Linked DNA regions of Xenopus tropicalis. Each later gene encodes a partner of the first gene's protein in a complex. Links are inferred from orthologs where the notes say so. Each region holds a gene or a part of one and is shown on either strand. Other genes may lie near its edges.

Evidence for each region. Proteins that work in one complex are often made in the same cells at the same time.
Region 2: the proteins of smarcad1 (region 1) and trim28 are in contact, whole or in part, in a crystal structure (PDB 6H3A), measured with the Homo sapiens proteins. The link is inferred for Xenopus tropicalis from reciprocal best matches to the Homo sapiens genes SMARCAD1 and TRIM28. Residues at the interface, in NP_001362784.1 of Homo sapiens: Asp156, Leu157, Ala160, Lys161, Gln163, Thr164, Glu167, Leu168, Phe169, Asp188, Gly189, Ala190, Ala192, Leu196, Ala201, Gly202, Gly203; in NP_005753.1 of Homo sapiens: Arg330, Trp333, Thr334, Lys337, Ile338, His341, Leu376, Lys377, Ile379, Val380, Asp381, Val383.

Annotation. Positions count from the first base shown.
Region 1 is NC_030677.2:76,745,647-76,749,146, forward strand, and holds part of smarcad1 (SWI/SNF-related matrix-associated actin-dependent regulator of chromatin subfamily A containing DEAD/H box 1), read right to left. Parts: intron 3,175-3,500; coding exon 3,037-3,174; intron 1,364-3,036; coding exon 1,268-1,363; intron 1-1,267. UniProt on the Homo sapiens protein: DNA helicase that possesses intrinsic ATP-dependent nucleosome-remodeling activity and is both required for DNA repair and heterochromatin organization.
Region 2 is NC_030683.2:102,982,530-102,986,616, reverse strand, and holds the start of trim28 (transcription intermediary factor 1-beta), read right to left. Parts: upstream 2,801-4,087; 5' UTR 2,560-2,800; coding exon 2,322-2,559; intron 1-2,321. UniProt on the Homo sapiens protein: Nuclear corepressor for KRAB domain-containing zinc finger proteins (KRAB-ZFPs).

The DNA of each region.
Region 1 (3,500 bases):
AGAAATTACTACTATTTAATGTAGATATTTATTCTATATAGCCCTGCTAAGGATATGTTTAATTGTAGACCTATTTGAATTACAATGATAGACTCACGATAGATACAACAGCCATTTGACTAAAGAACATTTAATATAGAAAATTTGAATGGTGTAAAGTACATGGGATCAGGTGTGGAAGAACAAGGAAGTGAACTGTTCAGAATTGCTGAGTAATGATGACAGTCTGGAATCTTATGCTTAACAAATATTTGTATTGCTAACAGTGTGGCTGTAGGGCAAACGGCACACCAAATCAGTGACTTTTTTTTTTAAAGAGAATCAGACAATTCCCAAAATACTTGACAGTTTTTCTAATTTGCTAATTACCTTAAAGCAGGGATCCCCAACCTTTTATACCAGTGAGCCACATTCAAATGGAAAAAGTGTTAGGGAGCAACACAAGCATGAAAAAAAGGTTCATGGGGGTGACAAGTAGAGCCATAATTGGCTACTTAATAGCCCCTAAGCTGACTGGCAGCCTACACAAGGCTCTGTTTGGCATCATACTTGTTTTTATGCAACCAATACTAGCCTTCTTACCAGAAATTAAAAAATGAGCACCTGCTTCGAGGCCACTGGAGCTACATCCAAGGGGTTGGTGAGGAACATGTTGCTCAGGGATCACTGGTTGGGGAAGACTGCCTTAAAGAGTCTCACAAACTAAGGTAGTGTCACCTATGTCTGGTACTGTCAGTATGTTATGGCTCTGACCCTTTTATGAAAGGACTATTTATAGCTCTGTTCACCTGGTCTCAATGATTTGATACTATTCCCCCCTGGCCTGCTAAACTACATTGCCTTCTGGCTTCTTGTAATGAAATTATAATTAATAGCAGGGCCTCATTGTGTTTATAACCTCTGCAATATTATGTGATGCATAATAACTAAAATTCTCAAAAACAGACCATTGTTTGTGTAAGAACTCTAACAAGCTGCTACCTTCCTGCAATATCATGGTATTGCAAAACAAAATAGGACATTACCCCTGTCTAATTTAAATATTTATAAAAACTGCTCAATGGGATAAGAACCCATCAGCTTGATGTTTCAATCTTAAACTGTGCATGATTACAGTCTACTGTATGTTGCGTTGTTTGGCGTTACAACACATTGAAATGATGAACACTTCAGGCTGCTTAATGTTAGGTGTTGAAATCATCTTGCATTCACCTTACAATCAATGCATGTATATGTCATATAAATCATATCCTGTATTTTCTATTACCTCACTTTTCACTCTTCTCAGTATAAATGGCTTCATAATCTGCTTGGCGTGAGCAATTCTCTCCTTTTCAAATATAGTTTGCTCATCGGTGGATTTCTAAAATAAAATGTAAGTAGGAATAAAGGGCAAAGTGTTAATTTGTATGTAGGAATACTGAGACACAAGCAGTGGTGATAGATCACCATTAGAAACACTGCCACCTTCAGGTTTACCAGGAAATTATTCATTTCCACTCAGTGTTCCACATAGGCAGCACTGTATTTATAAAATTGTGAAATAAGATTATATAAAAGGTGGTTAAAACACCACAGTAAAATGATTACATTATAAGCCAGACAATCAATCAGTTAACAGGTTTTCACTAAATGTGAAAACAGAAAAAGAGAAGGAAAAAGAACTGGTTAAGGGCTCTGGCACACAGGGAGATTAGTCGCCCCGTGAAAACGTAAGTCGCCAGTGGGATGGCACATGCTGTGCAGGCGATTTCGGCAAATCGCCGAAGTTGCCTCGTGAGGCATTTTCAGCAATTTGACGAAATCGCCTGCGCAGCGTGTGCCATCCCATCGGCGACTTACATTTTCACCAGTGGGATGGCAATCCGGGGAGATTTGTCGCGGGCGAAGGAGAAAAAGAGAAACAAGCCTGGCCAATAATTTTTTTGAATGTGGTCATCAGATCTCGCAACTTAGATGGTAAAAATTGGAACAAATTAAAGTAAGGGAGGGACAGGATACTAAGAGAATTTTATTACGAAAGGAATGTTATTGGATTTGGGCCCTAAAAACTAAACATCCTAGAGGTCTAAATGAGGATTTTACTATGTCTTGCCTTTTATGATCTTGTGGTGGTATTAGGGTAATTGTTAATTATGTATATTTTTTTTCTGCAGATATAAAATATGAATGATGAATTGTGCAGTACTTCAGGGACAAGTGACTCTTCCTGGATTAGTTCATTTTGCTACAAATGTTACCTTTAGGCCTTAGTGATTACTGGTATCATTCTACAAGGTTGCTCTTTTTTTGTTAATATTGCTATGTAACTATAATAAGTTCTAAAGTTACAAAGAACCTTTTGAGTGATCTTGGCAGGTGGTGTAATATGGACTTATTTTGCAGATTTTTCAACAGATTTTAAAGGAGAAGGAAAGGCTAATAAAAAGTTAATCTCAAACTGCAGGCATACCTTCAGTTATCTCAATAGTGCCCTTAAGTCTCCCCATATTTCGCCTGTTCAGATGATCAGAAGCCAAACAGGAAGAAAAAACGCTGAGCTGTGTAAAGATTCCCATAATACTCTGGAGCTGGTCTTCGAATCGGTGCAGGAGATAAGAAGACCAGCTCCAGAGTAAGCGCATGTGCATTTACCTTTCAATCTCACAAGCAGGAGTACCCAAGTCTAGGGGAGGGAGAAGATGCGCATTTACTTACGCGGCGTCATGTTGGACTAAATTTAAATATCCAACATGGCGGCCGCAATACAATATAAAGAGCGCTTACAAACATCGGTGAGTGCTCTGAAAATACTTACAGAAAAAGTAAAAAAAAGGTAGCGATCAGCTACAGGGACATGAGGCCTATGGTATGTATGGGGGGGGGTCTCTTATAAATACATAGCTCTGTTGGGACATTTATGTTGGAGAAATACTAATGTTACATTAAAATACTAACTAAAATAGTAGTGCTGCTAAAAAAATTAGAAAGTTATTATATAAGCTTAGTGGAAGAGGTGAATTTAAGGGGAACAGTTGAACATGAAATCTTAGTTACCGCTTTAGAAGAAAACAACCTCTTGATCTCGCTGGTGCTGCTGCTGAACATGTGTGGCATTACAAAGTTTAGTAGGGACATGAGTTCTAATAGGTTGTTCTGCACTGGAGTTCCAGTCAGAAGCAAGCGACTCCTGGCCTGCATTTAGGAGAGAAAACAAAGTTTAGTTTTACAGGAAAACTGTCATATAAATGGAAAAAAGGTACAATCAATAAAAATTTTAAGCACATTATATTTTTGTGCTTAACAGTGATTTTATTCTAAAATAAAAATGACAAATGTTTACTCCATCCACCAGAGTATTTTCGAGGAGGCAATGCTGATTTTGTGAATGCCAATCTTTCTTACTGTATAAAATAGCATTCCCAGAACTGTTAAACCACAGAAAATACACTCACACCTGCAAACAATGTTACCAATCCCTTTAATTTCAAAATAACCCATTTACTTTTATTTAGTCTTTT
Region 2 (4,087 bases), on another chromosome or scaffold:
ATGAAAGTTTAGCAAAAACTGAGGGATATTTTCTGCAAGTCACCCTTTAACTTAAAATCAGGAAAAAGACAGTTTGACATTTCTGTCAGAATTGCAATGGTCTATGGACTTCTTGCATGCTGCGTCTCACCCATATATGATCAAGCCTCTTGTGACTGCTACACAACGAGGAGTATTAAAACCCAAAAAACTTTTTTTTGCAAACTGGAAAAAAAAAAAATCTAAATAACTAGAAATATATATTACACATTTTTTAACGATGGTTTTAATGTTATTTGTAAATGTAATTGTAGTTTAAAGAATCAACTGTGGTTATTAAATTGCCCAAAGTTTCCTAGCAAGGAAACCCTTTCGTTAAACCAAAGCAACACGTATGCACGGGATGGCAAGTCGGGGAGACTTATCTCCCACAGTGCCATCCCACAGGCTAGAATGTAAATCGCCGGTGGGATGGCATACGTGTCACTGCAATGTCCCAAAGTCGCATGAAGTTTCCTGTCATGACAACTTCAGGACATCTCAGTGACTCGTATGCCATCCCACCGGTGATTTATATTCTAGCCAGTGGGATGGCATTGCGGGGGAGATTAGTTGCCTGCGACAACGAAGATTTGACACGGGGCGACTAATCTCCCCGTCGGTCACTGCCCTAAGGGTGAAGACACACTGAGCTACTAGTAGCAGCTACTTGTCACAGCTACTAAACTTCAAAAAAACCCCTGCCATAGAAAAAAATGAGAATTGCCTTTACTAAGGGCAGTGGCAAACTGGGACATTAGTCGCTTGCGACAAATCTTCGTGCGACTAATCTTCCAGCAATGCCATCCCACTGACTAGAACGTAAATCGCTGGTGGGATGGCATACGAGTCGCTATGATTTGCCGAAGTCACCCAAAGTTTCCTCTCAAGGACTAATCTCTCCATCTGTCACTGCCCTTAAACACACGTAAAGACGATTATCAGTAAATTATCAGCATTGTCTATTTCAGTAGCCACGACAAGTAGCTGCTACTAGTAGCTCTGTGTGTAGTAGCTAGCAGCTGTGTGTTCACCCTAAGGGCTCTGGCACACAGGGAGATTAGTCGCCCGCGACAAAACTCCCTGTTCGTGGGCGACTAATCTCCCCGAGTTGCCTTCCCCTGCCCACATGCGGTGGCGCGTTTTCACACAAATCGCCGAAAAACCCTCGCGAGGCAACTTCGTCGATTTGCGCAAAATCGCGCTGCCGCGTGTGCCATCCCACCAGTGACTTACATTTTCGTTGGTGGGATGGCAGGGGAAGGCAACTCGGGGGGATTAGTTGCCCGCGAACAAGGAGTTTTGTCGCGGGCGACTAATCTCCCCGTGTGCCAGAGCCCTAAGGGCTGTGACACATGGGGAGATTGGTCGCCTGCGACATCCCACCGGCTAGAATGTTAATCGCCAGTGGGGTGGCATATGCGGCACCGCGATTTGCCGAAGTTTCCTCTCATGCCGGGAGCAGACAGGGCGCCATGCCGGGAGCAGACAGGGCGCCATGCCGGGAGCAGACAGGGCGCCATGCCGGGAGCAGACAGGGCGCCATGCCGGGAGCAGACAGGGCGCCATGCCGGGAGCAGACAGGGCGCCATGCCGGGAGCAGACAGGGCGCCATGCCGGGAGCAGACAGGGCGCCATGCCGGGAGCAGACAGGGCGCCATGCCGGGAGCAGACAGGGCGCCATGCCGGGAGCAGACAGGGCGCCATGCCGGGAGCAGACAGGGCGCCATGCCGGGAGCAGACAGGGCGCCATGCCGGGAGCACTCAGGGCGCCATGCCGGGAGCACTCAGGGCGCCATGCCGGGAGCACTCAGGGCGCCATGCCGGGAGCAGACAGGGCGCCATGCCGGGAGCAGACAGGGCGCCATGCCGGGAACAGACAGGGTGCCATGTTGGGAGCAGACAGGGTGCCATGTTGGGAGCAGACAGGGTGCCATGTTGGGAGCAGACAGGGTGCCATGTTGGGAGCAGACAGGGTGCCATGTTGAGAGCAGACAGGGTGCCATGCCGGGAGCAGACAGGGTGCCATGCCGGGAGCAGACAGGGTGCCATGCCGGGAGCAGACAGGGTGCCATGCCGGGAGCAGACAGGGTGCACACAGTAAGCTGGCACCGTGCATGGCCTGGCATTCCCCTGGGCACCAAGGCAGCTCTTTGTTCAGATATTGAGCATGGTGGGCCGGAAACTGAGGCTTAGAACCCGGGTCCCCTTCCCACACTGACACCACACGGAAGGTGGGCGGCAACATGAGCCGCACATTCAGAGCAGGAGAGCTGCAGGCCTCCCGCCTCTTTCTTTCATACCTGAAGCCAAGTCTCCGCTGTTAGTGGCCACCTCAGGCGCAGGGGTCTCTGGCGGAAGGCAGGCCCGGCACACGGAGTGCAGGCACGGTAAGAGCTGGGGCTCCGTGTCCGCCCGTAACTGCTTCTTGCACACCCCGCAGCTCTCCAGTAGCTCCTGCCCGTCGGGCTCCCCGCTGCCTCCGTTGCCATTGTCGGTGCTCAGGACACTCCGCTTGTCACGCGTTGCAGCTACCGACATGTTGGGGGTGTTTTTCTTTCCCTTTGTGAGGAGCCTGCGCAAGAGAAGACTTTCCCGCCTCTTCCGAGAGACTCTATTGTTCTGCTGGCTCCCGCGGCCTGCCTGCCTGCTGTACCGAACTATCGCGCAAACAGCGGATGGATACGCACGCACGGACGGGACGTCCCCAACAGCAAAGCGCCGAAATCCTAGCGGAGCGATCGATTCAAAAAGTGCATGCCCACTAAGTGTGATGTCAGGAATGGGCGGGGCATGGACTTGCTGAGTGTCTTAGTAAAGTGCAGTTAAATAAGAATTACATTTTATTTGTTTTGTGTGATCTACTCCAGTGTTTTGTTTTTTTTTACTAAGGGGGATTATTTCTTATATGTCTGTGCTGATTTGGGCCATTAGCAAAGCTTTATTAGCCGGTAGAGCAGTGGTTGTCAAACTTTTTGTTCAGGCCCCCCTGATTCCTGAGACAGAAATAGGAAAATATTGGTGGATCAGTCATTCAGGCATAGATCAAAGAATATCTTGCCCTCAACCCTGGGCAATAGTTTCCACACATTTAGATAATTACTTGACTTACCAATCAAATGATTATTTTGTATGCAATATGAATAAGTGCTTGACTTTCCCTAGATTCCTCAGGCTGCAGGGTTCTAAAGCAATAATTAGAGATTTAGAGAAGAAACATTGGTCATGCCTCATTCTCTCATATAAAGATAGCTAATATACTTGTAACCCTATTTTGGCTACTATGGTACTTTTAACACGCAAATCACCTGCGTGTGGCGCTACAGGAGCCCTGAGCCCCCGCTTATCTATGGGGGAGAGGTATGATCTAAATAAATGGCGTGCCTTCACCCAGGGTAGGTATAGGTAGAACTATATATCTCCTCCCTGGGAAAACTCTATGATGTCCTCCTTGGACCAGGATTCCCAGCAACTCCCGGTACCTTGCCCCTCCCTTGGGGTAGCTGCTTACCAGACAGTTGAGGATCCTCAGTATATGAACAGCCAAGACACTGGTTAAAATGATGAACCAGATGAACTTGCTTTATTGTTGATGCAGGCAGAACACTTCAGAGGATGTCACACAGATGGCTCAAGTCACACACTCTCTCTTTTGGCTACCCCCGGTACTCCCACCAGGTGATCCCACCTAGGAACTCACCCCGGTCCACGCGTAGGGCCCCTTCACTGGGAACACTCCCAGGTGCTGACTTGGCTCCTCTTACTAAACACTACAGGACCTGGACTCCAGCCATGAATGCTGGGGGGTCTTAACCCTTCTCTCTCCTTTTGGGGCTATCTCTGCCCATTCTCTCTAGCCTGCCTGTCACTCTTAGAGTGACCTATTACAGTACCTCCTGTACTAGAACACTATCCTGTTGTACACCTCCTAACAGAGGCAGTCCCAGGACTAAGACCTAACAGAACATGTCTGCATGCCCTTTTATATTGCAGCACACTGCCACTTAGTGGTTGCTGCTGAATAACAAGGAAACTCCCTTTTAGCACATAAACACACAGGACCACCTTT